Linked DNA regions of Oryzias latipes. The protein of the gene in region 5 binds, or shares a complex with, the protein of the main gene of each other region. Links are inferred from orthologs where the notes say so. Each region holds a gene or a part of one and is shown on either strand. Other genes may lie near its edges. The genes, in order: voltage-dependent L-type calcium channel subunit beta-3, cacnb1, dihydropyridine-sensitive L-type skeletal muscle calcium channel subunit alpha-1, voltage-dependent L-type calcium channel subunit alpha-1C, stac3 and cacnb2.

Region 1 (5,199 bases), about 12 Mb from region 5:
CATTCTTCATTAGCTCAACATGCACATGATATGTGTATAAAAAGAATGCTAATGTTCATTCATTTTCTTAACCGCTTTTCCCTTTCGGGGTCACGGGGCTGCCGGAGCCTATCCCGGCCACTTGTGGGCGAAGGCAGGGGACACCCTGGACAGGTCGCCAGTCTGTCGCAGCGTAGAATGTCCGCAAACACACACCCATTCACTCTCACACTCACACCTATGGACAATTTAGAATTGCCAATTAACCTATAAAGCATGCTTTTGGACGGTGGGAGGAAGCCAAAGACCCCGGAGAGAACCCACGCTTGAACGGGGAGAACATGCAAACTCCAAAGAGAAAGGTCCCCCGTTGATGTAGTTTTTCACATCCCCCAGCCGGGACCTGAACCGGAGACCTTCTTGCTGTGAGGCAAGAGCGCTAACCACTGTGACACTGTGCAGCCAGAGAATGCTAATATGAGATATGAAATCCAACCAGTAGTCTGCGAATATATTGGGTTCATGTTAGAGCTCGGTTGATCCAATCAATTAATCAATCTGAATTGATCAAAGACTAATAAAAAAATAATCAATTAATAAGAGTAGAGATCGATCTTTTGTGCATTTCCTTTACCGGTGTCTTAACGCATACCAGCAGTAAAGTTGAAGTCACTTAGCCTGATGCTAACGTATAATGAAATTTCCCATAGGACGGCTAATGCTAACGCTCGGTCGACCTTAACACATGTGTCGCTGACTAAATGAACAGCTTTATATACTCCAAATATACTCCAAACTATTTCAAGGAAACATTATTTTTTAAGTAACCATTTGTGGTCTAAAGCATCGTTTTTTACTCAAATCTTCTCGTAGAATGTGTGACGCAATAGCGTTAGCTCCACCTAGTGGCCAAACTGAAACGCCCTCCAGGAGAGGCAGAACACAACGATCTGCACATTTTTGTTGGAGCTTCTCTGTTGTTGAAACCTATGTAACACAGTATGGTGCCAACAACGTAATTGGTGTATTATTTCACTAATACATTTTACAGTATGTGAACTGTATCAGATTCATATGAATATCTTTAAAACATGTATAGATTATTCATGGATTTCTATGCAATTATGTCTAAATGTGTAAACCATGTAAATTCAAAAATAAATGGAATCAGTCCAAGCCTGGTGAATCAAATTGATTCTCGAAATATTTGGTGATACCCAGCTCTAGTTCATATATTTGTAAATCTGGCTCTGAAAGGGAGTCTTAAAAGTTTCAATGAGAAGCACTTCTGCATCAAACAGGTCAAGCTGGCCATTTATCTGCGTTTTTTCTGTCATTGGCAGATCCTGCTGTTTTCTTTCCAAAGACTGTACACATCTGGAGCTCAAACTCCTCACACCAAACAGAAAACCTCATAAACAGCAGTGTGGTCAATAACAACTCTTCTTTTGAAGGAACTCTTACCAAATCGACTGACTAGGAAGACATAACTAACAAACACAGGACGACAACTTTGTGCTTTTTTTCGCATCCAGACATATCACCTTAAATAAAGCGGATTCTCCACCTGAGTCTTCCTGAAAACAGTAATTAAAAAGCAGAAGATTGTGTTGGGATTGTTTTTAAACACAAACCTTTGGCTGCCCTTTGCTGGTAATATATATGTAAGCAACTAAAGACTGCTGGGTGAAAAAAATGAACAGAAACTGTCAATTATTGCAACACAAAAATGAAAAAGACCCAGCTAGAAATATCTTTGTGACTGCCTCATAGAACTAGTTAATCTTGAAAAATAGTGGTTGATGGCTTATAGTCCAGTGAAACACTACAAACACGGCTAGTAGTGTTCAAGAGCTTTGTTCAACGCTCATCTACATTTTCCATAGGATATTTCCAACTGCTGTCACTGATAGTCTTTGATGATCTGTGTTTGAATGTCAGCGGCAGCCAGAAATACACACGGAATAAATGAATGCAGGAACAGAGCTGTTTACCTGCCGTTTGATGAAGCTGGAGGTGGTGTCAGAAGAAGTGCTGCCATCGGAGCGTTTGAAGCGGCTCTTGCGCTTAGGCAGTTTCCTGGGCAGCTGAGTGGGGAAAAAAGACACAGAGGAGTTTAGAAGACAAAAAAAAAAAGACTCAGATGGAAGGTTTCTTAATGCTTAGATGGTTTTTAGAAGGTGTTGGAATGAATGGAATTCTTACTTTTGTGCACCGAAGTCCTTTTGGTGCACAAAAGTAGTGTATTTTCAAGACTGTCAAGCCCATAAGAGATGACATTTAGAACATTTGTTATAAAGTATACGTGAATGCAAACAAGATCATCCAAGAATCAAATGAGGCACAAAATAAAATAACTTTGATGTAACATTTTTGTTAGACAAAAATGGCAAAAATGCTATTTAAGAAAAGAAAAAAAAAGTCACAAATGAACTTGGATGTAATGCAAACTAACTAATCATCTGAAAACACCACAAACTACATGATTAGTGAGTGTCCTAGTGCTTTAAAGCAGATGTGGGAGTTTATATTTTTTGTGGTGCTCTCTGCTGCCTAAATTTCACAATCTTGCCATACCCACAGAAGAAGCAGGAGCTGCAAAAATCCCAGGGATACTTAGATTGTATAAAATTATATATGTGTGCGTGTGTGGATTTAGGCCACAGGTGGCACAGAGTGACAGAGTCTGCACGCTAACACCAACAAAAACACCTGCAAAACCGGGATGCTGCTGTGTGGCTGCACTGACTGTCAGAAAAACACACAGAATTTGATAGGAAAGCTTTAAAAAATTATATTTAGGCCTGATATGTGGCCAAAAATCCATCGATATTTAAGCGGAGTATAATTAAAACATGGTGGATGAATGTATGGGCTCGATGATCGATCCGCAGTGAGGTGGGAGTACAGCGGGGAAAAGAACTATCAGCTTGCCAAAAAAAAAACCAGAGAAAAAACGCGACGCCTCGAAATGGAACAACAAGTAGCTTTTTTAGACACCAGCGAGCCATTTTCCATCGCACCTCCCCTGCTGCGGACGGAGGGGCCGAGATTTACCTGAAAATACTGCGACTGCGAGCCGGTTTCCACGGCAGACAGCGGGTCCACAGGCGATTTGGACATTTTGACTTGCACCATCTATCGAAAGCGCAGGGAGGCGGGATGCACACACAGACATGGGTTACTGGAGGGAGCCAGAAGAACTAAGTGCATCAGGCGGAGCGAAGAGACGGTCGATAGCAAAGAAAGAAATATGTCAAATAAGCCATAATATCTTCCAATAAGAAAGAAAAAAACATGTTCTGATGGAGCAAACGTTGAGCGAGTGGGGGAAAACGGAGGTTTATTTGAACCGTTGACGCCGAGGCGTCATCGCACGAGCTCGGTAGGTCCGTACTAAGTGTGCGGGTTTGCCGGGGGTGTCGCGGTCGACTGAACCGACGCCAAATTTAATCTAAACAAGCATACAAACACTAAACTGCAAACCTTTTTACCTAAATAAAAATACGAATTCATTTTAAATTCCGTTTTTTTCTTAATTTCTGAAAGCGTTCTTTTTTTTCTCTCACGGGGAGCAAAAAACCTGAAAGCCGATGAGTAAAAGTGGGACTTCAGGAGATTCGGGTTGTTTAGATTTAGGAGAGGTTTCCCTACACGTTTTTTTCTTTATTTTATTATTATTTTTTTTAGCTAAACAATTGCAGAAAACACAAACGTCAACTATTACAAACACAGTTTCATCCTTGCTATACTTCTTTAACTTTTTTTTTAGATTAAAGTCCCATTCCAATAAAAATCGTATTTTGGATGTAAACATGGTCTTGTGCCTTTTTCTCATAATGGAGGAAAGATTTAAACTCAATTTCTTGGTATTTCTTTATTCAAATCGTTGTGAATCAAGGGCAGATGAAAAACTGCAGTTGGAAAAAGCTTTTTGCAGTGACGTACGTGCTACAGTAGGCGACGAGCTCCCTGCTCTCTTTTTCATTTGTTGCTGTTTTCCTTTGGCCCCTTTGTTTAATTTTGTCTTTCTTTGCGCAATTCTATGAAAAAAAGTGTGAATTTTCTTAAATGTTTTTAAATAAAGAAATAAATAACAAGCTCCCTGCTGTGCTCCATTCTGATGCATCCACTTGCAGACAAATAGATCCACATCTTTGTTTTCCTTGTCATTGGCATCGGGCTCAAAACTGTACGACTGGATAGCTCCAACATTGCTCACCGTTTTTGTTGCACCGATAATGTTAACTTGGGGTTTTGAGGGGCTGTAAACTAGCAGGAGGAAGTGTAAAGAAAGGGATGATGGCAAATGAGGGCAGGCTTACTCTGCGCTATCAGTCCTGCCAAAATTGGGAGGCGAATTTCTGATCAACTCTTGCCAGTTCCTCTAAGAATCAGGGCCTATGGAGGCTGGACTTGAATTGACGTTGCTGATGACATCAAAAACTTGGTAAAACCCTTGAGGAGGACACGAGTCTTAAAGCTCCTGATGTTCTTCTATTATCTAGGCACTAGGTTCCCCTCTTAATAAAAGGGCAGGTCATTATCTTATACTACAAGATAATGACATTGAGGTTGTTTTTTAGATATGAAACACTAGACCAGCTCTTTGGATTGGTGTAATCCTTAAAGTTTTCATGTCCCAAAACAATTTGTTGACTTGGGAAAAGCATTTAACTGCCTGCCTTGGGATACTTAGTTGTGTAATAAACATGGTCCCACAATTAATGTGGTACTATTTCACAATGAAGGTACAACTGTTTTGAACCAACAAAAGTGTTTGTCATAGTGAAAGGGTTGAAGATTAGGATTAGACAGCCTAAACCACATGGCATCAAAATGAACCAAAACCTCTTTCTGCAAGGTGCCATAACCTAATGGAGAAAAAACAAAGAACCATCCTATCCATCTTCAGAACCCACTGAATCCCTTTTGGGGTGCCAATCCAGCCACTATTGGGTGAAGGCATAGTTCTCCCTTAACAGGTTGTCAGTCTCTTGCAGGGCCACACATTCACACCTAGAGGCAATTTTTAGAGACACCAATTAGCCTATGAAGTACGTTATTGGACTGTGGGAGGATGTGCCCGAGTGCCTGAAGAAAATCCATGCATGTATGAGAAGAATGGGCAAGCTCCACATGGAGGAGCGCAGCTAACTGGAAGAAAAGCCAGGCGCTTATTGCTGTGAGGCAAGAGGGCTAACCACTACACCACTGTGC
Region 2 (4,705 bases), on a different chromosome or scaffold from region 5:
GATTTTCTGAAACACAAGTTTGAAGGAAGGTAAAAGAAAAAAAAAAAGGCTTCAACAATGCATGACCTGTAATGTTATACGTTTATCCTGTAAAGTGCTGGATCTCTGTTTCAGAATATCCATCACGCGGGTGACAGCAGACATCTCTCTGGCCAAACGTTCAGTCCTGAACAACCCCAGCAAACACACCATCATCGAGCGCTCCAGCACTCGCTCCAGCCTGGGTAAGAAACCTCGCTTCGGTGACCAGACGTCTTCTGGCAGTGAAAACTTTTATAAAATGAAACTCTGGAAAATTAAAGATGTTTGTTCATTGTGTCGTGTTGCTGAACATCTTTTCCTGTCTCTTCCATATCCCTGTTTCTTTAGGTACACTTTTTTTTAAAGTATAAGACTCCAAACAGCTTATTCAAATAGCAAGAAAGACATTTTTTATGTGTTTCTGATTCTCACAAACCAACTTCAGCACAAATCTACATTTATTATTTTGGCTTTTGTAGCTGCATCTTGCAGTTTGACTTGATTGCTCAGGCACAGGGGAATTTGTGATTAAAAATTGGAGAAATTAGAACATTTTGGGAGGAGCTGATGTTAGATCAACATGCCAAAAAGGGATTCTTCGGAGCCTTGAATCCAACTTGTTATAACTCATCTAAGGACCTAGCCATAATAGGGTAGACACAGCATAGGATGTACCTCATCAAAAGACCTGTAAGCTTTTACAACTCCTCTGATCGAGTCTGATTTAGGCCTTTTCTCTCTTTTCATCTTGTCTCTTGTGCCCTTCAACCATCCTCCTTACTCTGCCAAACCTTTCCTCTTCCTCCTCCTCCTTCTCTGTCTTGTGATTCAGACGTACTGGGTATGTATGCTCTCCGTGCAATGAAACAATGCAGCTTCTCTCCCTCTTCTTTTCGCTTTTCCCCCCCTAACTATATTCATCATGTACTCATACATTGTTTGTCTGTTTGCCTGTCAGTTTCTCTGTTCCTCATACCTCAGAGTGACAGCCTGCAGTCTGGAACAAAAAGGAAAGAATTACGAAACCCGCGCAGGCAGAGATCTGTGGGCGACTGCTTGCTGCTGTTCAAACCACATATTGCAATTACCCCTAAAAGTAGTCTGGATACAGTACGTCTTTAGTAAGACTCTTGAATGGCCCCTATACGAGCTGGACTTTACCTTTTATATACTGTTAAAACTTGAGTTATTGCAGTTGTTATCCATATTTACTTACCTTAAAAGTTCCCATTTCTTGTCACTTGGACTGACTGACTGGACAGCTTTAATTTGGAGTCCTCCTGGAGGCTTCTGAAATATGGGGCCCCTGTCGATTAAACGGCCTGTTATCTGTCATCACTGCTGAGTTGGCACAACTTTGGAGGTGCTGATGTTTGACCCCCAGGGCAAGGGGCACTCTGGCTGTCAGTTTAACCCTGGCTGTAGACATCGACATCCAGAATCAGAACCGGAAGTCTGCCCCATATCGCTCGAAAAAAAACTGGCAAACCCTGCCAGTTCCAGTTTGGTAATGCTTTATAATAATCATCTATTATAAATCATTATAAATCATCTATTATAAATCATGAATAAACTGTTAGTTAATGGGTTATAAATAACAGTCATCAGTGTATCAATGTTGGAAATGTCCCTCCTTTCTTAACGGTTAATAAATGAGGAATGTTTTCCACTTTGAAACAACATCCCAGTAACAGATAAGCCATTACCTAATACTTAACAAATCGTTGTCGAGAAATTTATTAAATGCTTGTTCATGATCAATTTTTAGTTATAAAGGCACATTTATAGATCCTTAACAAAGTTATTTATAACTCGTTAACTTACAGTTTTGTTAATAATTTACCAAGCTATAACCCATAGTTATTATAAAGTTTTACCTAGAATATTTCCAGTTTTAAGCTGTAATGCATGTTATTTTTACAATTCTGATCACTTCTGGGTTAAGGTTAAGGTAAGTTGTATGTTTTCCACTTCCGGCAGATGATGTCAGGCGCCATTTTTTTCCCTCTCGATGAATGTTGGAACTACGCTTGAAATGCAAAAGCTCTGGTTGGCTGTGGCTGAGGAACAATGAAAACAAAAAGTCCTCCGTCTAGAATGGCTATCCTGATGCAATAATTTTGCTGTGCCTATTTGTGCTAACAAAAAAACGTTTTCTCCCCCCATGCTGTATGTTTTTTTTATCTGTATTTTGTTTGTTTCTGTTTTGGTTACATGGTGAAGAATTGTGCCCTCATTGTAAGCTATTTCAAGTACCACAGGCATCTCATTTCTAAGTGCCTCCTTCCTTTACAACCTCAAATTAGAAATGATCAGAAGCACTTAAGAGAATCTGAAATGTCTGGAGGTGGCAACTGAATGAAGATGCTCCAGTGCTCCATTTAGCTCTGAATAAATGGAACTTAAAACTGTGGTCCAACCTGATTTACATCCTTGAAAGCTTGTGGGCTTTTGTCATTGTTTTTAAAAAAAATCCAAACGTGCACGGTGAGGAACTAACATGTTCGTTTAATAACTATGCAGAAAGTAAGAGAATTTAACTGCTGTTCAAAGCTGCATCTCCTTAAAGATAAAAGCAGCCTGCTTTTTAATAACTTTTTGTTTGTTTATTTATTTGTGTCTCTTTCCTGTGCTGTCAGCTGAGGTGCAGAGTGAGATTGAGCGCATCTTCGAGCTGGCCCGAACCCTGCAGCTCGTTGCTTTGGATGCAGACACCATCAACCACCCCACTCAGCTGGCAAAGACCTCTCTGGCTCCCATCATCGTCTATATCAAAATAGCATCTCCCAAGGTAAACCTTCATGTCTGGTATTAATTTGTAGGGATGGGTACCATTTGGAATTTCATCTGGTGCCAAACTGGTGCTGTTGAAATTGTTCCGGTGCTCAAACGAGAGCTTCAAGAATGGGGATAAAAAACACCCAAAACAAATTTACATATGATGAAGCAGCGTCACGGGTTGAAGAAGAGCACTTGAGTTTGCCTAATATGCTTTATTTCATTCTTTCTGACAGTGTGTACTGCAGCCCTGTATTTGTTTTCACACACGGCAAAGTAAAAATGTATTTTATTATTTTTTTTTTTGTACTTCGAGTGGATTTTTTTTTTAATAAACTTTATTATTCAACACAAACGGAACAAATATGTATGACAGGAACAATAGTCATAACAACAACAATGTCAGGGGATGGTACATGTATTACAAAAAGATTACAAATGCTATGCATTGAAAATATTCAGAGACAGACAGTTTTCATAAATATGTACGGCCTTTTTGTTTAAACTATTAGAAATAGTATGTAAATAAGATTCTAATTCTTTAATTATTAAAGGGAAAAAAAGTTGTGATGAAGAAAACTTTGATTTATGAATATGAAATTTACCAAATATTATAATTAGATTAATTGCCAATTTTACGTTTGATCTTATATTTTTTTCGTGTAGGACAAATATGATATGTTCAAATTTCATCTGATGTTGTGAATCTAAATTATAATTTATAAAACATGCACAATCTTTCCAAAGTTTTTTAGTAGTATTACAATTCCAAAATAGGTGACTGATTGTTTCTGGGTGTTCTTTACAAAAGGTACAGTTGGGGTCAATAGTCTTCTTATATCTGATCATGTATTGATTAGTGGGATAGATTCTATGTAGGAGTTTGTAGGAGACGTCTCTCATCTTGTTATTAATTAATAATTTCTGATGCAGGGTCCAAACATTTTTCCACGGCAAGTCAGGAATAAATTTTCTCCAATAAAAAACAGCAGAGGGAACAGAAATTACATTTTGCTGAAACAGGGCACGTATGATCTTGTTATTTTTTCGAGCACAGTTGAAACAAGATTTTCCAATAGTGGTGTCACTTAGAGATATGAAGGGAATATTTGCATCAAGTACAGTATTTTTAAAGAGTTCACAGAGTAAAAATGTATTTTAGCACTCATCGCCACAACGTTGTATGCATCACGCTCATCCATCAGGTTGCTGAATTAGAATCTTACGGACAAACTTTTGCTGGAACGCTTCACCTACCCCAATGGCCACGCCCCATTCTTAAATGAGCTTGGCTTCAAGCTCCTGTTTTTATGCGGTACTATTTGAGTTGTTGCTGTTGACTCGCTGCAGGTTCTCCAGAGGCTCATTAAATCCAGAGGAAAGTCTCAGGCGAAACATCTAAACGTTCAGATGGTTGCAGCAGACAAGCTGGCTCAATGTCCACCTGTGAGTCCTGATTTAGGAATTATACTTTATTTGGACATTTTTGATTCTCTGCTTCTGCAACACCAACTAAGACTTGCTTTGTTTGTGGCACAGGAACTGTTTGACATCATCCTGGATGAGAACCAGCTGGAGGACGCATGCGAACACCTGGCTGACTACCTGGAGGCTTATTGGAAGGCAACACACCCACCTAGCAGCAACCCTCCCAACCCCCTACTCAACCGTACTATGGCCACGGCGGCCCTCGCTGCGTCTCCCGAGCCCGTCTCCAACCTGCAGGTACAGGTGCTCACCTCCCTGCGCAGAAACATGGATCTGTGGCCTGACTTGGACGGTGCTGTAGCCAGTGAGGGAAAAGAGGAAGAGCACACTGTCTGAAGCACGGCGTTGCGGTGTGGGATGGGCACTCCGGCAACCTGAACCGACCTCTGCAGCCTGCTCTCGCTAGACAGAAGGAGTA
Region 3 (4,705 bases), about 4.4 Mb from region 5:
AAAACCAGAAATGCTTTTTCATTTTCAAAATGAACTTTTGACTCAAAATTAAAATGAAAAACAATCCGCTAAAATGCTTTTTCAGTTTCTTCTTCGACATTGATTATTCTGTCACTTAATTAAAACGATAAAGAAAATGGTATTTGACATTTCATTTTCAAAAAGTTCTCTGGTAAATGTGTAGCAAAATTCATTTAGAAATGTCTAATTTGACAATTAAAATGGATTAACAGTAATGCTTTTTCATTTTCAAAATGTAACTCCATCAAATGACTCAAAATTAAAATGAAAAAGCAATCCACCAAAATGCTTTTTCATTTTAAACTTTAATTCCGCTTATTCTGTGTCATAATTAAAAACGAAAATACAAAGAGGGGATTGCATTTTCATTTTAACATCCACCCTGCGAACATTGTCGCAAATATTCAATTCGAAAAAGCATTTCCAGCGAGGAGGCAGGGCGATGACGTCACTGATTTCTCCGTCTGTCCGGCTGCTAAGAGACACAGAGATGCTTGGAGCAGTGGAGCTTTGTGTTAGCAGCAGAGGAGACGGCTTTGTGATGGTTGTAAAAGGAAAAAGCATTTTGAAGGAATGCCTTTTCATTTTAACTTTGGGTCAAAAAATGCAGCGTCATTTTGAAAATGAAAAAGCATTTCTGGTTTTGACTTTTATTTTTAATTATGCTACAGAATCGCTTCCATACTCAAAACAGCTGTCAGATTTCATCATCATAGTTTAGGTGAAGGATCCAAAAAGCTTGCTTAGAGATTTCAGCTCTCAATTTCCACTGTGAGGAATATAGTGAGAAAATGGAAGTTCAGGCACAGTTCAAGCAAAGGCCCGGAGTTGCCGGCCCAGAAAAATCTCAGATAGGCAGAGGCGAAGGTTGGTGAGAACAATCAAACTCAACCCACAGACCAGCTCCAAAGACCTACAACGTGATCTGGCCGCAGACGGTGTCACTGTGCATCGGTCAACCATTCAGCGCACTTTGCACAAGGAGATGCTGTATGGAAGAGTAATGCGGAAGAAGCCTTTTCTGCGCACATGCCATAAACAGAGTCGCTTGAGGTATGCTAAAGCACATTTGGATAAGCCAGCTTCATTTTGGAATAAGGTGCTGTGGACTGATGAAACTAAAATGAAGTTATTTGGACATAACAAGGGGCGGTATGCTTGGCAAACAGAGAACACAGCATTCCAAGACAAACACTTACTATCCACAGTCAAATTTGGTGGCGGTTCCATCATGCTTTGGGGCTGTGTGGCCAGTGCAGGTACTGGAAATCTTGTCAAAGTTGAAGGTCGCATGGATTCCAGTCAGTATCAGCAGGTTCTTACAAACAATGTTCAAGAATCAATGACAAAGTTGAAGTTGCGCCGGGGCTGGATACTTCAACAAGACAATGACCCTAAACACTGCTCTAATTCTACAAAGACATTCATGCAGAGGAACAAGTACAATGTTCTGGAATGGCCATCTCAGTCCCCAGACCTGAATATTATTGAAAATCTGTGGTGTGATTTAAAGCGGGCGGTCCAAAATACCTTCAACCAGAATCCAGGCCCTTATTGAAAGTTATAGGAAGCGATTGGAGGCTGTCATTTCTGCAAAAGGAGGATCTACTAAATATTGATGGCATGTCTCTGTTGGGGTGCCCAAATTTACGCACCTGCCTATTTTTGTTTAAGTAATTAAAACACAGTTTCTTTAAATCCAATAAACTTCATTTCACTTCTCAAGTATCACTGTGTTCATCTGCTATATGATATATTTCACTGAAATTAATGATCCAAACAACCAATGATTTATGAAGAAAAATTTTGAAAATTATCAGGGGTGCCCAAACTTTCTCATACCACTGTAGATTGTGCTAAAGGATTATAACTTTATACTGTTTTTTGTTTTCAGCTTAAAGTCGATGAATTTGAGTCCAATGTCAATGAAGTGAAAGATCCATTTCCACCTGATGATTTTCCAGGTAAACCAGTTCATTTGTCTTCCTCTTCATTTATTGTTTTAATGTTGCTGACAGGTAAAAATCAGGGCAGTTGATCTCAACCAGCTCCTTGGGTTGTGTGCTGAGAATTTTAAAGCTGTTTTTAAGTCCATTGAGTGACAACCATCATAATTCGTACAGTCTGAAAATCCTCTCCCCAATCTTTGATTTAGTGTTTTATTCAATGCAAGTTGAAGTGCTGGTATTGTTCTGCAGTCTGTTTTTCTGCTTTTTAGGTGATGATGAGGAGGAAGAACCTGCAATCCCCCTAAGCCCTCGGCCTCGACCAATGGCAGACCTGCAGCTGAAGGAAGAAGCGGTTCCATTACCTGAAGCCAGTTCGTTTTATATTTTTGGCCCTCAGAACAAGTAAGATAATAAAAGAAGTGTTTCAAAGATAAAGATGTGTAAATTCTGTCTAGCTCATGTCTGTACTTTGCAATCCAGGTTCCGTAAACTGTGCTACAAGATCATCAACGCTTCGTCCTTCACCAACTTGATTCTACTTTTCATCCTGCTGTCCTCCATATCGCTGGCAGCTGAGGACCCCATCGATCCAAGGTCCTACAGAAACGAGGTGGAAGCCGAGTCAGACTCAGCATGTTGGACAACAATGGATGCAAGAGGCTGAGCTCTGAACTTAACCTAGTTTTTGTTCTTTTTTTTAAAGATCTTGGCTTATGCTGACATTGTTTTCACAACCATGTTTACCATTGAGATTGTGCTCAAGGTAAGGTCAACAAGCAACAACAACTATTTTGAGATCAGTTGTTTTGTGTCGTCTCTTTTTGTTGCTACTCAGTTTTCATTTTTAAAATAAAAAAATAAACAGTTCAGCGAATCCTGCAGTTTTAACCTTAGAGGAATGAATATCACCGGTATTACAATATAACATGTTTATTTATAGAGATTTAGTTTTACTAATATACGGAGTTAGTATTTTATTGACTTTGTGTGTTTGGTTGAACAAATCTAAATTTCACACAAAAGAAAAGGCAGGTAGTAGTAATAGTGGTAGTGATTAAATAAAGATGAAACTATCCAAATGTTTCTGGTTTATTCTTTATCTAACAAACCGAATGACAAAAGCAGACCTAAAATTATATATAAAGTGTAACTTTATTTTATTGTGTCACGGACAGATGACGGTGTACGGCGCTTTCATGCATGAAGGCTCGTTCTGTCGTAATTCTTTCAACATCCTGGATCTGATTGTGGTCACAGTGTCGCTCCTGTCCATGGGAATGGAGTGAGTTTCAGGATCACACAAGACACTGTTGTCACTTTTCACTGAAATACATGTTTTTATTTTTTATTTTTAAAACACACATGTATGATTATTGCTTTTACTATGTACTGCCTGCAGGTCCAGTGCAATTTCTGTGGTCAAGATTCTCAGGGTGCTGAGAGTGCTGAGACCTCTCAGAGCCATCAACCGAGCCAAAGGACTGAAGGTACAAGACATGCATCGACTGTCCTGCTCAAAAAAATTATGTATACAGGCAATCAGTAAGATACTTAAACTGGAAATTTTGCATAGAACTCCACCTTGTATGTAGGTGGCTGATAAATGAATACATCTATAATAACTTTCATGCATTCATGAACAAATGTCAGTATTCTATTTCTGTAGAACTGACTAAAACCTCAGTCTGATTTAACCCCCCCCCCCCCCCCCCCCCTGTCCTTTTGCGTAACAATTGACAGCTCCTGCAGCAGCAGTCGCTTATTATTTTACAGTCTGGCACTAGTCAGAACTGCAGCAGTTACAAAACATTCACTGTACCAGTTAATAATATATCTCACGCTTAAAGTTGGCCTTGATTTACTGGAAGCAGAACAAAACTTTGTTTGCTGTCATCACACATTAAAGAATGTATATAAAACACCTGAAGGGTCTGATCAATAATCAATCATTCAACTTTAGTCTTCTTCTGCTGCTGTTTTGGGCTGATATCTGATCTGCTTTAAATAGGTTTTTACAGGTAATACATGCAAAGTAAAAGAAAAAATAGAATACCCTAAAGTTACAAAAAAAGTGGGAGGAAAATCAAAGCTGGGGAGCATAAATAAAGAATCAAAGAACATCTGAATATCCCTTTTAGTTCACATTTGGTACTGGTGTTCTTAGATCACAGTCTTGCTCCATGGCTTAGTCTTTCCCAAACTTTAGTTTTGCGTTCTGAAGTAGTTTATTAGAAAAATTGTCAGCCAATCCAAGGACTGCAAAACCCAAACCATCAACCAACCACCGCCATGCACAGTGAAATGAAATGCTGTGTTTCTCCAAAGGTCATTGAATAAAAAGCATTGTAGTTTTGCTCAATAAACTTTAGAAACTTTATGATATAGGCATTTTTTCTGGCAACTTAAATTAAAAAAATGATTTGTAATATTCATATCATATTTGACTAATTATTTGAGTCTTATCAGATTCTGGTTTTCAAACAGCAAAATCTAAATGCTTCCAAAACCAGACCAACGCTTGGGGTCAAGCAGTGCTGAAAAGATCGTTCTGAACACGAGTAATGGGAAAGAACGGCTGATGAATAATGAACAAATAAAACTTTTACACACTTTTACAATGATATTTTAAAAATACTCTTGTCTTCTTTCAAAGATTTTTCATTTATTTTTGGGCCCTTATAACAGAAAGAAAATACTTTTAAAGCGTTTGACTGTTCCATTTCTCAGTACTTATC
Region 4 (4,705 bases), on a different chromosome or scaffold from region 5:
AAATCCACAACAACAACAAAAAGTGTTGTTTAATTTTTTATTAGATTTAGATAGTTTCAATTATGACACCATTGGTAAGTTTTTGCTCTCAATAATGTTAGTTTAAGATGCAAATATGTTGACATGGGAGTTCAGGGGAAAAAAGCACCTTATTAAGCACAGTCTTAAAATTGATTATCACATTTTTAACATGGTGTAACTGCATTATGAAGAATTAATTATCAACTAATTTTGCATTTTTTCTTGTGTTCTTCTCTTTGTATTGTTGGATAATCTTTGCTGCTTATCAGATGTGCGACAGGCGAGGCATGGCAGGAGATCATGCTGGCGTGTTCACCCAACCGACCCTGTGAGAAAGGGTCAACCAATGAAAACAGCACCGCCAGTGAGGAATGTGGCAGCCAGTTTGCCATCATTTACTTCGTCAGCTTCTACATGCTTTGTGCCTTTTTGGTGAGACAGACGGCTGAACAAGGAAGATTCCCTTTTCCAGATAACAGTTCCAAACTCACTTACTGATTCCTGCTTCTCTGCAGATCATCAATCTATTTGTGGCTGTAATTATGGACAACTTTGACTACCTGACACGGGATTGGTCGATCTTGGGACCGCACCATCTTGATGAATTCAAAAGAATCTGGGCTGAATATGACCCAGAAGCTAAGTGAGTTTAAGGAGAGAAAGCATTAGACACTTTCAGAATGATAGTGTTGCTTTTGTCTGTCAAACCGTTGCTGAATTTTTTAATGTAATGTCTTTTATTTTCTTTAATTCTAAAGGGGTCGAATAAAACATCTTGATGTAGTCACTTTGCTGCGGAGAATTCAGCCTCCTCTGGGATTTGGAAAGCTCTGCCCACACAGGGTGGCTTGCAAGGTAAAGCTGACACAATTATAAAAGAAAATACACAAAAATAAATGTAAAAGGGTTTCAGAATGTTTTTTTTTACTAGAATTAAGAAGTTGACACCAAAGCTGGCATCAAATGCTCAATAAGAGAGGGTTAGTTTTTGGCCATGTGTGTTATCTTATGTTTTCCTTTTGGTTTATTTCATTATGTAGCGTCTGGTGTCAATGAACATGCCTCTGAACAGCGATGGAACGGTGATGTTCAATGCCACACTGTTCGCATTGGTCAGAACTGCCCTCAGAATCAAAACTGACGGTAAGATGCACGTAATACGACAAACAGAACTGAAGTAACTTCCACCTAACTGCTCTTTAAAGACCCACTCCAATGATAATCATGTGTTTGGTGTTTTTACCATGTTTTTGTGGCATTTTTCCCATGATGGAGGACCAAAGTAAATTAAGGGGTGGGCTTACTCCACACTAACAGTTCCACCCTCAACTATGAGGCAAATTTCTAATAAACCCCTGCTGCTCTGCTGAAACTATGTCCTAACAAACAACACAGGTTTTTTGCTTTGGGCTAAAAGTGGCATAAATATATATTTTTTAAAACCCACTGGGAACGCTTTTTAAAATAGATCAAAGATGACACGCAAACTCATGACATGCAAGACTACAATATATATGTTTTGTTTTGTATATGCAGGAAACTTGGAGCAAGCTAATGAGGAACTGAGGGCAATTGTAAAAAAGATCTGGAAAAGAACAAGCATGAAACTCCTGGATCAAGTAGTGCCCCCTGCTGGTGGTAGGTGTATTTTTCAAGACAGTTAAGGCTGGTCAAAATCTTACTTGAAAAATAGTACATCTTTTACAGAACTTCTAAAAATACCCGTCCACTAAGTGAATAATGGTCACTGTGTTGCTTCCAGATGATGAGGTTACAGTCGGGAAGTTCTATGCTACTTTCCTCATCCAAGAGTATTTCCGCAAGTTTAAGAAGAGGAAAGAACAGGGGCTGGTGGGCAAGGTGCCCCCCAAAACTGCACTCTCTCTGCAGGTACATGCAGAATTGCATTTACATTGTATTTTACATGTTTAATTATGCTATTTAAGTTATCAAGACAATAAGAAAACAAAGGTAGTGTTTAATAAAATTACAAGTTGACATTTTTTCTATAAGAAATGAACAAGAAAAAGAAAGGAACTTCTGGTGGTGTGTTTTTGTGCATGCAGGCAGGCCTGCGGACATTGCATGACATTGGTCCAGAGATTAGAAGGGCCATCTCGGGAGACCTGAATGTGGAGGAGGAAATGGATAAAGGGATGAAGGAACCTGTGTCAGCAGCATCTGAGGATGATATCTTCAGGGTAAAGGTTGGATGCATACACCCTCACGCACTCTCACAGAGAGAGACCCAGACATGATCAGCGCCAGCTTGAAGCTTCACCACATGCATTACCATGCTTGCATGTGGTCAGAGCCCGGAGAGGACATCTTGCAAAAGCTGCATGTTTGACCACAAGGCTTTGCTGCACATTAACGCTGAACACTGATGCTGCAGTTTAATGAAAGTTTTCTAAGGGGGAAAAAAACGCGCAAAATGAGTCTAAAAAAATTTTCTATATACATTTTGGCAAATAACAGACCACTGTCACTGTAAGTATTAACACCTTTAGTTCCTCTGCAACTTTCCTTTGCCTTCTTTAATGCGTTGTTTCAATGTAAATTTCTTTTTAGCAATTTCTGTTTTATTTTATTTCATTCTAACATGTAAGACAAATACAATAAAAAATATAAATACCATAATTTAAAGACCTGCTCTAATGAATATTTTGGGTGTTTTTAGCATGTTCTTGTGGCATTTCTTTGATGATATAAGACATATATTTGAAAAAAAATTAAGCTTAAAATTGCATTTCTGTGTATTTCTTTTTCAAATCATTGTGACTAAAGAGCATGGCATTTGAAAATAGCTTATTTGTGACATGGAAAATATCCCTATGGGGCCACAAGCTCCCTGGCTTGCTCCATTCTCATGCACCGCACCCACTTAAAAGCGAATAGATCCATGTACATCTTTTTTTTCTTGATCCAATCTGGCTTCTGGCTCAAAACTAAACTACTGGATAGCTCTAAAATTGCTCGCCATGTTCGGTGCAACGGTAATGTTGGGTTGGGGGTGTGGGGGGGCTGTAAGATAGCAGGAGATCATGTAAGAAGAAAACTCTTAGCAACGGGGAAGGGAGGGGGGACAGGGTTGCTCTGCGCCAACTGTTCCGCCCACAAATCAGAGGTGAATTTCTAATGAACTACTGCTGCTCTGCAGAAAATATGTCCTAGAGAACAAGAAGGACACAGATTTTTACCGTTTTTGGCTAAAAATTGCATTATTATAATGAAAAAACAACTGGAAACGCTTTTACAATAGATCAAAAAAGGATCAGAGTGGGTCTTTAATATTTTTTTTGTATTTTCAAATTGTTTTATGTTTATATATATAAATTCTGATGTTTATTCATAGCACATTGCAGGTATTCATCTGTTAAATGGCTAAACTCTTGCGTTCCATTGTCATCATGGCTGATATAAGGCTGGATTGCTGCAAGCAGTAAATGTTAATGTTGCATTTATGCTTTTGTTTTTTTCTTTATTCATCTGTTTTTCTTTACTCACACAGCGTTCTGGTGGCTTGTTTGGCAACCATGTCAACTACTACAACCAAAGCGATGGCCGCAGCTCCTTCCCACAGTCCTTTACCACCCAGCGTCCTTTGCATATCAGCCAGAAAGGCTCCCCTTGCGAAGGCGAAAGCCCATCCCACGAGAAACTTATGGACTCAACCACCTTTACCCCTTCCTCCTACTCATCATCAGGCTCCAACGCCAACATCAACAACGCCAACAACACCAGCGTGACTGGCGTGGCCAACCAGGGTGTCAGTCGATTTCCGAGCCCTTCTATAAGCACTGTAGATGGACACACTGGGCAGCCACTGACACCCATCCTGCTGCCAAGGTCCGCATGGTGCTTCCCTCCAAAAAGGTGAGCGCAAGTCTCCGTAGACCACGTAAAGATTTTCCTTCATATAAAACCTTTTACAATAACTTTTTTCTCTATCCCTGACTGTAAAGAAAAGTTTTCACAGTCAACAAACTATTTCTTTCACCGCCTCTTTATTTACCTGCTTTTTCTCCTTGTCTTCTATTTCTGTTGGCATGCAGGATGTTTTATGACACCCTCATGCGGTATGTTGCCAGGGGACAGAGAAAGAGAATGAATGTTTGTCTGTTTTGAGTGCGCATAAAATGATGATGCAGTATGGAAAAGAGCATAGCTGTCATGGCACAACAGTGGCATTTGTTGCTATGCACAAAATGCTTTAGTTGCTATAGTAAAAGTGCTGCTACTTTAAAGATTAGCCAGCTAAGCTGCAGATAGACTGTTTGGTGTCACATGGCCAAACCTCTCCTATCTACCTTGTGTTGCTGCTCTATTATTGCACACTGTGGCAGGTCTGGGTTAGACTCTGTTTTAGCTCCTTTTTCTTCATCTATGCAAACATCTGAAAGCTGATACTCATCTTGTTTTTAGACCATTAAAAAAATAAAGTTATTCATTAGTTCAAAATGTTACAATACAATGAGATCAGTCTATATTTTTGTAAAAGCTACTTATGTGCTTTTGAGTTATTGCTTTATATTTGTCTCAACTGACAGTTTGAATTCCACGACTCAAATTTTTTCAAAATTTCATGAACTAATCTACTTTAAATACAGATTTTTTTATTAACTAGCTCATTTGTTTTGAACAACTATGAGTTTTTGAACGAATGGTAAAATACAAATGTTTC
Region 5 (5,173 bases):
GCAGATTTGCTAACTAAAATTGACACAACTGCTCCCAAAAAGCAGCTAAAACAAATCAAACAACAACGAAATTAGTCTAATAACAAACGACGGAGTTTACGACGTGTGTGGCAAACAAACACTGAAATATTTTACACTGATGACACGGCAGCTAGCGTGAAAGCTAATAGCCGGGCTAGCAGGCTAAGACTACTTTGTAGTATGTTGTCGTGACAGCTGTCAGGCGCACAAAACACTCTGATGCAAAAACTCTTGTATTAGCAACGGTTACAAGAGGCATCCCGTGCAAAACATTGTCTCGAAATAAACACAACAACTTTCCTATTCGAATTACTATGATTCACTTACTTACAGATATCCGTTAGAGGAGGTAGCCACAACAAACAACAAATGCTGATTAACCTTTTTTGCATTAAGCTCCGTGTTGGCTAAGTTTTGAAGTCTCCGCTTTTGGATCGCGGGTGAATCAAGTTAGCTAGTTAGCAAGGCGACTAGCCAGTGAATGTTTTGAAAATGGTTGGTACTTTCAACAATTAAGCGAGACTTTAACCATTACATAATCTAATTCACGAATTAGCGATGTTAACCAGCTATCAAGATTTACGCAACGTCTGACCGTCAGGTTTAAAAACAAAGAGCAGTAGCGCTTCATTTCACTGCGCTTGAGTTCCTGGGTAACCGCTACGAGCTATGCTAGTTAGCAAAGCTAAAGGACTGAAATTTACTTGGTTCTGGAGAGTCCCAGCAAAACCGAGGGATGTCCCGCTCCCCGTCCACAACGATCCGGCCGTTGCTTTTAGTCTCCGTTCTGCTGAACCGTGTGGAATTCACATTCAATTCAACAACCATAACGACCTATGTGATCCCAAATTCACATTTGCTCCTTGTGTTTTTTTTCTTTCCCTTTTTCTTACAAATTCCAAGCAAAAGAAAAAAGAAAAAAAAATAATAATGGAGTTTTCTTTTGGGCATGCGCACTCAGCGCGTCAGGAATATTGTACCCAAAATGCAACGGGACCTTTGTAACGCTTGTCTAGCGCAGGTTGGAGCGTCCTGACAGAGGACACTGCATATATATCTATATATCCATTTATATCTATATCTATATAGATATATATGCATCTACATATCTATATATCTAGATATATAGAGATATAGATATGTAGAGAGATTTTAAACTTTAAAACCAAGTCCAGATGACATCCCCTAAACCTACTACAATGGAACCAACCTGGATGAATGAGAGTCTTCATAGACATACATATAGAGATATGTATATAGATAGATATAGATATAAAGATCTATATCTATCTATATACATAGATAGATAGATAGATAGATAGATAGATAGATAGATAGATAGATAGATAGATAGATAGATAGATAGATAGGGGGGAGTGTGTGTATCCCCTTTTCCTCCCGACTCAGGCTTAGTGAGAGATACTCAGCTGTTGCAAACTGTCAAGTTCACTCAGTAATGCCAAGCCTGCCATGCACAAAAATACACACACTTGGGCATCCATAAATAGTTAGATCTTTCCAGTCCCTTTACACTATTTTGTATATTGGCATATGTAAATATATATTACTTTAGTGAGGTTACATTCAAAGTGTAAAATCCTCTGAAGCGAATATCAAGAAACCACAAATAGGGGACCAAAGGCCAAAAGGCCTGAACTGACAGGACATTTTGGGCGGCTGCTTTGTTGGAGTCAGTAGCACAGATCGTACGCCACACCAGTCATCGTCTTTTGCTCAAGACCCACCATAGAGTTTTGACAATATACTGGATTTGTAACTTCCTCCGTGGTCTTTCACTTAAGGTAGGCTACCATTGCATATATAAACAATGCCTGTTAATAACCATTTCTGTTTCTGTTCTGTAAGTAGATTAAATTTGTTAAGTGAATTGTTCACCACTCTTAAAATCTGTGTGGTTTATTTAAAACAATTTTGTTCAAGATGATAGCTTGGATTTCGTTACGTTTTTTTTCCTGACTAGAAAAAAATCCAAAATTTAGCAATTATGAGATTTCAAAACCCAAAAAGAGTTTGGGTAAAGCTGTAGGTGACAATTTGCAAAATCCAAGTTACACTGTCAAACACAAAATAATGAAGCATATTTGTTTTGTTTTGTTTTTTTACAAAAAATTTCTTTCTGTATTTGATATTTCAACTTTTGCTGTGTGAAATTGTAGGTTGGTTAATATAAACATGCGAAAGTAAATCTGTGGCTAAATACATTTTACATTGGCATTTGTCTATTTTTAAACACTGGCAGTCATAAAATCCTAAACATAGAAACGTAAGGGAGTGATTATATGAACTCTCACAATTAAAAAAGAAAAGAGGTCCTTTCAGATGTACATAAAATATAATATTTTATAAACCAAAGTTTTTATTTTATTGAAATCATTTAGAAATTCTAAATTTTAAGTCAATCAACCCCATGTCAAACGTTGTTCCATTATTTCTAGGTTGGAAAGTGTTGACTTTGTCTGCATTGCATCATGGATCAGTGAGTACAGATCCACTCATCATTTGTTCCGTCAGTGTCAAAATGTTATAAGCTTGTTAGTTATCAATTAACTTAAAACTCAACTTGATAAGTGATACTATTAGAGATCTTTTTTGCAATGAGGTCAAAGTCTACCTATTAATTTCTATAAAATAATTAACTGAAGTTATTTTATAAAATTGTATCGTTTAAGACGAGTGTCTTTTGTAACTTGGAGTAGATTTTTCTTCTGATTACATGGTTTCCATGATGCTTGTTTTTTTTTCCCTAGTCTGTCATGGTAAAATAAGTTCAGTAAGTTCTCCTTTAGTGTCATTGCTGAATAAACATGCACCAGTAGTAAACCTTTGAGTTTTATTTATTAATTCCAAAATTGTGTTTTTTTCCCAATCCGTGGCTTCGGCAGCTTATAGTTTTTTCCACGTTTATTTATCTCAGGGAGGATGACAAAAACTCTGTGGATATTCATGACAATCCTCCAGTCCCTGACAATGTAGTGAGGGAGGAGGGAGACACAGTGAGTGACAGCACCATGCCAACCACCCACCATTAGGGCCATTCCCAGGATGTTTAAAATAGCCACCAGTTGGAACAAGGCTGCAGTCCACTGTCAATTCTGAAAATATGACCTCAGATTTAGATTTCCCTGAAGATAGTTTTATACATGTAGTCTAGACAGTTTGTTTCATTGCCAAAACTCTGACTCATACAAATCGAGATTCTTTATGAACACCACCCTTAACATGTTTCACATTTTCTGCCTAAGCTGTTTCTGCTATTTCTCAAGGTCTACTTCATATATGAAGAGGAAGTTGAAGTGGAGGAAAAGGAACCAGAACCTCCCCCGGAACCCATTCTTCGGATCAATGACAAACCCCACAAATTCAAGGATCACTACTGCAAGAAACCTAAGTTCTGCGATGTCTGTGCTCGCATGATAGTCTGTATGTGCTCACCAGGATACGCAAATACACAACCAGTCCTGTTAAATTTCCCAAAGAAATGTGTTTAGATTGACTTTTCATAGTGATGCTATTTTCTACATCAAAATGATGTGTGACTTTTACTGTTTTTCATTTGCACATCTTGCAGTGAACAACAAGTTTTGTCTGAGGTGTAAAAACTGCAAAACCAATATCCACCATTCATGCCAATCCTATGTCGAGTTCCAGAAGTGTTTTGGCAAAATTGTGAGTTTTATTCATCATAAAAAATGTTATATTTTACACTGATATCAAAGAATATGCAGTCAAATAGATAGACAGTCAATAAAATCTGTGCAAACTCAGATTATTGTGTTTTATAATTCAAAGGCTATAAACTCTTATGAATATTTTATTTTTTATTTTTGTGTTTCTAGCCACCTGGATTTAGAAGAGCTTACAGCTCCCCTTTGTATGGCAGTGACCAACCCGATCCAAGTGAGTCCAGAAAAGTTAGCTCAAAATAGACATGATTATCATAATCACTATTTTGAAAAAAAGAAAGTTACTTGTGTTGGAAAATTGCTGTAGCTGATTCAACAATATAATTGAAATAAAGAAAAATTACACCAGTTTGTACAGAAAATCTCCTTTTGGCTTAGCATAAAAATTAGATTACATCTTCAAAGGTGACATCTAACCTGGACTGTAGGCTTCTGCATTACTAGTCTTTTTAAATATTACTATCAAGCAGTCAAAATTAAATAGATAAATTATTGATTCAGCTCAATAATTTTGCATTCCACCAGATAATCCAAACCGGAATGACCCCGTCTTTGACACCCTGAGAGTGGGCGTCATAATGGCAAACAAGGAGCGCAAAAAGAATGAAAACGACAAAAAAAATGTGAGTGAAGTCTTCCTGTCTCAAACCTAAATTTAGAGTATCAACAAATGATGATGTAAACACTTTACAATGTTTGTGTTCATATAGATGAATAAAAAAACTCAGAATGATAACTCAGTTTTACTTTCTCTCTAGTTGATGATGATGGAGGAAGAGGAGGAGGAGGAGAACCAACAACCCAAAGAGCATGAAGAAGGAGGAGAAGGTATAAATTAAAACTGTTGGTTACTTGCCTTCTGTGGGAAAAATAACTAATATTTTCCTATGAAAATCATAAAAACTACAAAATTTAACCAGCAAACAGAAAATACTTGGTGGACATAGTTTATTTTACACAGTGATTTGTGAATTCTGGTGAACACAGGGAAACCTGAGGATAAAAAAGAAAAAGGAGGAGACAAAGCAGATGACAAGGTACAAACAAAATTATAGCCAATCAATAAATACAAGTTGACAAGAAGCATCTTGTAGGTATAATGTCTAAAATGTTCTTATTAACAGAGTAAGGGCACATTCACCGGATCTCACTATTACCTAGCTCTGTACCGCTTCAAGGCCATTGAAAAGGACGACCTTGATTTCCAGTATGTTTTGTTAGATGGTAGCAGTTCTTTGCAAATGTTCTTTGTTTTGAAAGTCTTTCTCAAAAATACCAATTGTGTGTTTTTGTGTTAGCCCTGGCGATCGGATCATAGTACTAGATGACTCCAATGAAGAGTGGTGGAGGGTGAGTTCAACTTCTTGAGTTTTAAAAACAACCTTTGCGCTAGGGTTACTGTTTAGGTCTTAATTTTTGCAGGGGAAGATGGGCGAGAAGACGGGCTA
Region 6 (4,705 bases), on a different chromosome or scaffold from region 5:
ACTATCTATCTTCTAATCTATCTTTCTGCGCACTTCCTGATTGACTTTAGCTGTTATCTCCTCTGGCTCTTCTGTTACCAGGTGACCGACATGATGCAAAAAGCTCTTTTTGACTTCTTGAAACACAGGTTTGAGGGAAGGTACGTTTCCTGTGACCTTTACGAGCTCCAATTCATGTTTCCTCCCTCATTCCTCCTCTCTCCGTGTCCACACTGGTATTTATCTGTCCCCTGAGGTTAGCAGAGGGAGTGTGTAACAAGTTTGTTGTGCCTGGAGATGTGTGCTGTTGCTTTAAATAGCCCCCTCTGCATGTCCTTAATAGGCCATAGTGGGTCTTGAAGTGGAGCAAGATTCTCTTTATTCAGTGTTGAGACCTTGAAGTTACACAAGATCAGTTCAGTCCAGCGGCAGCTGCACCTACCATGTTTTAATGAGTCATTTACTCTCTATTATTTTTATTCCAGTTTTTCAACAATTATGTGTATTTCTAAGACAACTTTAAAATGTTTAATCCAAGAATTGATGCTTTTAGAGAAGTAAAGTAGTCTCAGATTGACAGAAAAGATAGTGTTTTCGTAAAATACATCTAAAACAAAAGGCGGGCCTATATGATGCTTTTCTTAAGCCTTTCAGAGTAAACTATATCCATATATATTATGTTATGTTACCTTTGGCACACTAAAGAATGCTTTTTTTTATCAAATATGAGTTATTTTTCGCAGCTAGTTTTCCAACCCGGAAGTAAGACGACTCGATCTCTGAAGCTCCGCCTTTCTCTCCCTGTGGGTGACGCCCACTTCATGACGTCAACCTAGCGCCAAACTCGGCAACAAACAATATCCAAACTTTTGTAAAGATGGATGTGCATATTGTGGTGGTAAAATGAAGTGTTTTAGCCAATCACCATTAGCTCTGCGGAGAAATTGTGTTAGCCTGTGGGGGGGTACTGGAAGCACAGACTCTTCTTGGAAGGGGCTGTTCTCACTTATCTACTTCAGCTTGGGAGAATCCACTCGGTTTCATGGATTAGGAGGGGCTGGTGGAATACTCAGAAATGCATGAATGGATCAAAATACTGCTTTTTTGTGAGGAATTAATGTTATAATACACTTAAAAGTTAAAAAAGTGTTTGCATGATCATCCTGTGATCTATTCTAAAAGTGTTTCCAGTGGTCTTTTTATTATGCTAATGCAAATTTTATCCAAAATCCAAAAATCTGTTTTATTTTCTAGAACATGGTTTCTGCAGATTCATTAGAAATTCCTCTCTGACTTGTGGGCGGAGCAACCCTGCCCTTCTTTCCCCTTCCTGTTACTGAGAGCTCTCTGTTCACATGCTGTACCACTAGCTGACAGCCCCTCAGTGCAACAAAAATGGAAAGCAATGTTGGAATTATCCAGCAATGCAGTTTGAAGCCAGATGCCAGATCGGATAAGATATAAACAAAGACGTACATGGATCTAGTTGGCGCAGGGATCTTTTGGCCAGTCCGGCGTATTTTTTACTTAACAAAACAAAAACAAAAGCATTTTTTTGTCTGCTCCTGATTTACAACAATTTAAATAAAGAAATACTCAAAAAAGACAAATTTTTGCTTAATTTTCTTATCAGAAAAAATCCATCAGAACGTGTTAAAAGCACCGTTTTCATCAGAGTGACTCTTTATTGGGAGTTCAGCTGTCCGTTAGCTTGGATTTCTTCCTTAGTTAGAGATCAGACGGAAGCAGACTCATAACAGCAGGTCAGTTACCGATCAAAGTGGATAAAAATGTTAGATTAAAATTTGAAAGAACACTACAAAGACTCCATTATACTATTTTTTAATTTTAGCGTATTATGTTGTCTGACCATCCAGCTTTATTTGGTGAGGAAACAGTGTTTAAATGTTACCTAAAACTGCTCTCTCTGTGCAAAAGCATGTTTCTGTTTAAAATCCACAAATTTTGTTGTTACTAATTCATACTTTCCATTGCAATTGTCTGTCAAAATCAGCAATAATCATAAAGAATGTGTTTGCAGAACATGTGAGGGGTTGAAAAAAAATCATAAATCGAGTCCATATTTTTCCACTCATACACTTGCTTTTCCTGTCTTTTGTGTCAGAATATCAATCACTCGCGTCACGGCGGACATCTCTCTGGCCAAACGCTCCGTCCTGAATAACCCCAGCAAGCACGCCATCATCGAACGTTCCAACACGCGCTCAAACTTGGGTAAGCCTGTCGTGAATCCACACAACCTGGAAACATCTGGTGTTTTGATTCATAATGTTCTCAAGGAGACCACTTTAAACGCAGGAGGAAGGAAACAATTAAAGAAACCCTTGAAAATGGTAACGATAACTCCTGAAAGGCTCAGAGCTGCATCGGCCGGCCTTGTTGGTTTGGAAATCAAAGGTAGAGCAGAAACGCTCCATAACGCTCAGATGGATTGTATTTCAGATTAGAATGAAAGAGATTCTGGCGTCAAACGGAGGTGACGGGGCTAATCTCTGATATTTATCACCAGAAACATTCATTAACAAGCAGAAGTCTTTGTAAATTTAGACAAAAGAACACAAACATCCTTTTGAAATGTTCATATGGCATAATTGATGTTTAATTTCTGATATTTTAGCCATCAGTAGTTTCTCAACTCACTATTGAGTATGCCAGTCATATCAACTGTTTACAACAATGAAGGAATTTGGTTTTATTCAAAATGTAAAATTTTAAAAAAGGTTTTTCAGGACATAAACATGTGATTCCCCTTTAGTTTCAACTATTTTTAAAAAACTTTTTTCACATTGTTTTGGCTTTATCTTTGCTCTGTTAGTTTTTTGTCCCCACATGTTTATTTTTTGTTGTGAAACCCCATAGTTTTTTTAATTTTTGTGATATTGCATTAAAAAAGTGAAAAAAATTATTACTCAGGGTTGAGTTTTTGTACCATTTGAGGTTGATTGTGGAATTATAGTTAAAAAATTTGTGTTTAGTAAAAGTTGTTAAGTAAAGAACAGATTTAAAGGTAAATTAATGAAGAAAATTTAAAAAATAATAATAAAAAAGTAACTAAAGTAAAAATTAACACGAATACCATCATAAAATGATCAAAAACAATGTTACAAGACTTAAGCTGTAAAATTATGAGAAAATGTTTTAATTTTATGAGAATAAAATTGTAAAAAAAAATAAAAAATGTTTAGAACTTATAAATATAAGCAGAATGGGAAATAAATGGCTGCCATGTTTCTCATTTTGGAGATTGGGTTATAAAAGTCACTCCTTGTCAGAGGTAACATACGAGCCGTCGCTCCTCTTAGAGCTATCAGTTTTCTCCGTATGCCTCATCCCTCTAGTCATGATGTCTTAGGTTTGTGTTCCCTGGAAGACAAAGTGATACATAGTGCAGCCGTGCCTTTAACGGCGTATTAAAGGAGGACGTGCTTTCTCCTCTGGTCTCCTGCGGAATATGAGTTTGTAAAATAGGATAACAAGTCTGTAATAAACGAGGCCTTGTTGAATGTTCAGGTGTTCTAGCTGTGACGGATTGCAGCACTGGCCGTTGCATTTGAAGCCACGCAAAGCCAATGTACTGTTATTTTTAGGTTTTGGTAAAAATTGAATAATCAGTTTAATTTGGAAGGGGTTTAAGGCCCATTTAATCTGAGAGGACACTGACAAACACTTACTTGTTGTTCCTTTAGACTGTGTAATTCTAACCTCTTCTTATTACGATGTCTATTTTAAACTTAATTTGAAAATGTAAAATACGAATGGTATTAATCCAAATGATTGTTTTCCTCTGCAGCTGAAGTCCAGAGTGAGATCGAGCGGATCTTTGAACTGGCCAGGACGTTACAGCTGGTGGTTCTGGATGCCGACACTATAAACCACCCGTCACAGCTGGGAAAGACTTCCCTCGCCCCCATCATCGTCTATGTCAAGATCACCTCTCCAAAGGTGACCACATGACAAATGCACTCGTTCGACGAATGTTCTCTCGTAATAAAGAGCCGTTCAGGCCATACTTCATGCTTGCATTTATCTCGGTTTTGTTTTGGAAACCATTCGTCTTTGTCTTGCTTGACTTCGGAATTCGGCACGTCACACGCCGCAGGATCCAAAAAGGTGGCTGATTCATCGCTCTGACCTTTAGAAAGTGTAAAACAGGCTCATGAGTCAGAGATCGATAAAGAACAGAGCAACAGGGAAAATGCAGGAAAGGCACGGCGGAACAGACGCAGGCTGTAAATCAGAGCGGCAGCAGACTGAATCTTTTCTCACAGCGAGATCAAAGAAATGATCTGTTTTTGTCTGTCCTCTCAGCTGCACCCCGCTGACTGTTAATATGTACTCCAAGGGGATAATGACAGGGTTTAAGATGAATATGTCATCCTTATCAGTGTTGGAGTTAATGTCAGAGATATTTGCTAAAAATATCTAGTAGTTTGTGTGATTTAATATTATTACTGCTGGAGAATTAAGTGGCAGAGGAACCTCTTCAATCACATAAACGGCTACATTATAAACTGGAACCTGATTGATGAAGCAGCAAACATAAAAGTCCCACTATGGATGCAACTAAAAATGTTCCATCATGCTCCTGATAGATTATATACACTGATAAAGATGTGGATTCAGATCTGTTCAAGTTCAGGTTCAAATCCGATGGAAGGACATTTTTCACAGCAAACATGAATTGTAGGACTGTTTTTGAACTTTT

Evidence for each region.
Region 1: stac3 (region 5) and voltage-dependent L-type calcium channel subunit beta-3 share a complex: the UniProt entries of both Homo sapiens proteins name them as parts of the calcium channel complex. The link is inferred for Oryzias latipes from reciprocal best matches to the Homo sapiens genes STAC3 and CACNB3.
Region 2: stac3 (region 5) and cacnb1 share a complex: the UniProt entries of both Homo sapiens proteins name them as parts of the calcium channel complex. The link is inferred for Oryzias latipes from reciprocal best matches to the Homo sapiens genes STAC3 and CACNB1.
Region 3: stac3 (region 5) and dihydropyridine-sensitive L-type skeletal muscle calcium channel subunit alpha-1 share a complex: the UniProt entries of both Homo sapiens proteins name them as parts of the calcium channel complex. The link is inferred for Oryzias latipes from reciprocal best matches to the Homo sapiens genes STAC3 and CACNA1S.
Region 4: stac3 (region 5) and voltage-dependent L-type calcium channel subunit alpha-1C share a complex: the UniProt entries of both Homo sapiens proteins name them as parts of the calcium channel complex. The link is inferred for Oryzias latipes from reciprocal best matches to the Homo sapiens genes STAC3 and CACNA1C.
Region 6: stac3 (region 5) and cacnb2 share a complex: the UniProt entries of both Homo sapiens proteins name them as parts of the calcium channel complex. The link is inferred for Oryzias latipes from reciprocal best matches to the Homo sapiens genes STAC3 and CACNB2.

Annotation. Positions count from the first base shown.
Region 1 is NC_019865.2:19,143,640-19,148,838, forward strand, and holds the start of voltage-dependent L-type calcium channel subunit beta-3, read right to left. Parts: upstream 3,381-5,199; 5' UTR 3,118-3,380; coding exon 3,037-3,117; intron 2,067-3,036; coding exon 1,974-2,066; intron 1-1,973. UniProt on the Homo sapiens protein: Regulatory subunit of the voltage-gated calcium channel that gives rise to L-type calcium currents. Increases CACNA1B peak calcium current and shifts the voltage dependencies of channel activation and inactivation.
Region 2 is NC_019866.2:5,369,359-5,374,063, reverse strand, and holds part of cacnb1 (voltage-dependent L-type calcium channel subunit beta-1), read left to right. Parts: coding exon 1-29; intron 30-114; coding exon 115-224; intron 225-853; coding exon 854-862; intron 863-2,660; coding exon 2,661-2,812; intron 2,813-4,149; coding exon 4,150-4,245; intron 4,246-4,338; coding exon 4,339-4,524; intron 4,525-4,705. UniProt on the Homo sapiens protein: Regulatory subunit of L-type calcium channels. Regulates the activity of L-type calcium channels that contain CACNA1A as pore-forming subunit.
Region 3 is NC_019865.2:11,942,931-11,947,635, reverse strand, and holds part of dihydropyridine-sensitive L-type skeletal muscle calcium channel subunit alpha-1, read left to right. Parts: intron 1-1,915; coding exon 1,916-1,985; intron 1,986-2,239; coding exon 2,240-2,372; intron 2,373-2,450; coding exon 2,451-2,580; intron 2,581-2,673; coding exon 2,674-2,733; intron 2,734-3,145; coding exon 3,146-3,252; intron 3,253-3,369; coding exon 3,370-3,457; intron 3,458-4,705. UniProt on the Homo sapiens protein: Pore-forming, alpha-1S subunit of the voltage-gated calcium channel that gives rise to L-type calcium currents in skeletal muscle.
Region 4 is NC_019881.2:14,667,530-14,672,234, forward strand, and holds part of voltage-dependent L-type calcium channel subunit alpha-1C, read left to right. Parts: intron 1-290; coding exon 291-453; intron 454-536; coding exon 537-664; intron 665-779; coding exon 780-876; intron 877-1,061; coding exon 1,062-1,164; intron 1,165-1,557; coding exon 1,558-1,659; intron 1,660-1,783; coding exon 1,784-1,911; intron 1,912-2,087; coding exon 2,088-2,222; coding exon of another isoform or gene 2,223-2,228; intron 2,229-3,532; coding exon 3,533-3,897; intron 3,898-4,076; coding exon 4,077-4,100; intron 4,101-4,705. UniProt on the Homo sapiens protein: Pore-forming, alpha-1C subunit of the voltage-gated calcium channel that gives rise to L-type calcium currents. Mediates influx of calcium ions into the cytoplasm, and thereby triggers calcium release from the sarcoplasm.
Region 5 is NC_019865.2:7,550,903-7,556,075, reverse strand, and holds the start of stac3 (SH3 and cysteine-rich domain-containing protein 3), read left to right. Parts: upstream 1-1,515; 5' UTR 1,516-1,823; intron 1,824-2,477; 5' UTR 2,478-2,510; coding exon 2,511-2,518; intron 2,519-2,956; coding exon 2,957-3,035; intron 3,036-3,305; coding exon 3,306-3,462; intron 3,463-3,610; coding exon 3,611-3,708; intron 3,709-3,878; coding exon 3,879-3,939; intron 3,940-4,250; coding exon 4,251-4,348; intron 4,349-4,483; coding exon 4,484-4,553; intron 4,554-4,712; coding exon 4,713-4,762; intron 4,763-4,849; coding exon 4,850-4,932; intron 4,933-5,023; coding exon 5,024-5,075; intron 5,076-5,147; coding exon 5,148-5,173. UniProt on the Homo sapiens protein: Required for normal excitation-contraction coupling in skeletal muscle and for normal muscle contraction in response to membrane depolarization. Required for normal Ca(2+) release from the sarcplasmic reticulum, which ultimately leads to muscle contraction.
Region 6 is NC_019878.2:20,095,336-20,100,040, reverse strand, and holds part of cacnb2 (voltage-dependent L-type calcium channel subunit beta-2), read left to right. Parts: intron 1-81; coding exon 82-140; intron 141-2,104; coding exon 2,105-2,214; intron 2,215-3,790; coding exon 3,791-3,942; intron 3,943-4,705. UniProt on the Homo sapiens protein: Beta subunit of voltage-dependent calcium channels which contributes to the function of the calcium channel by increasing peak calcium current. Plays a role in shifting voltage dependencies of activation and inactivation of the channel.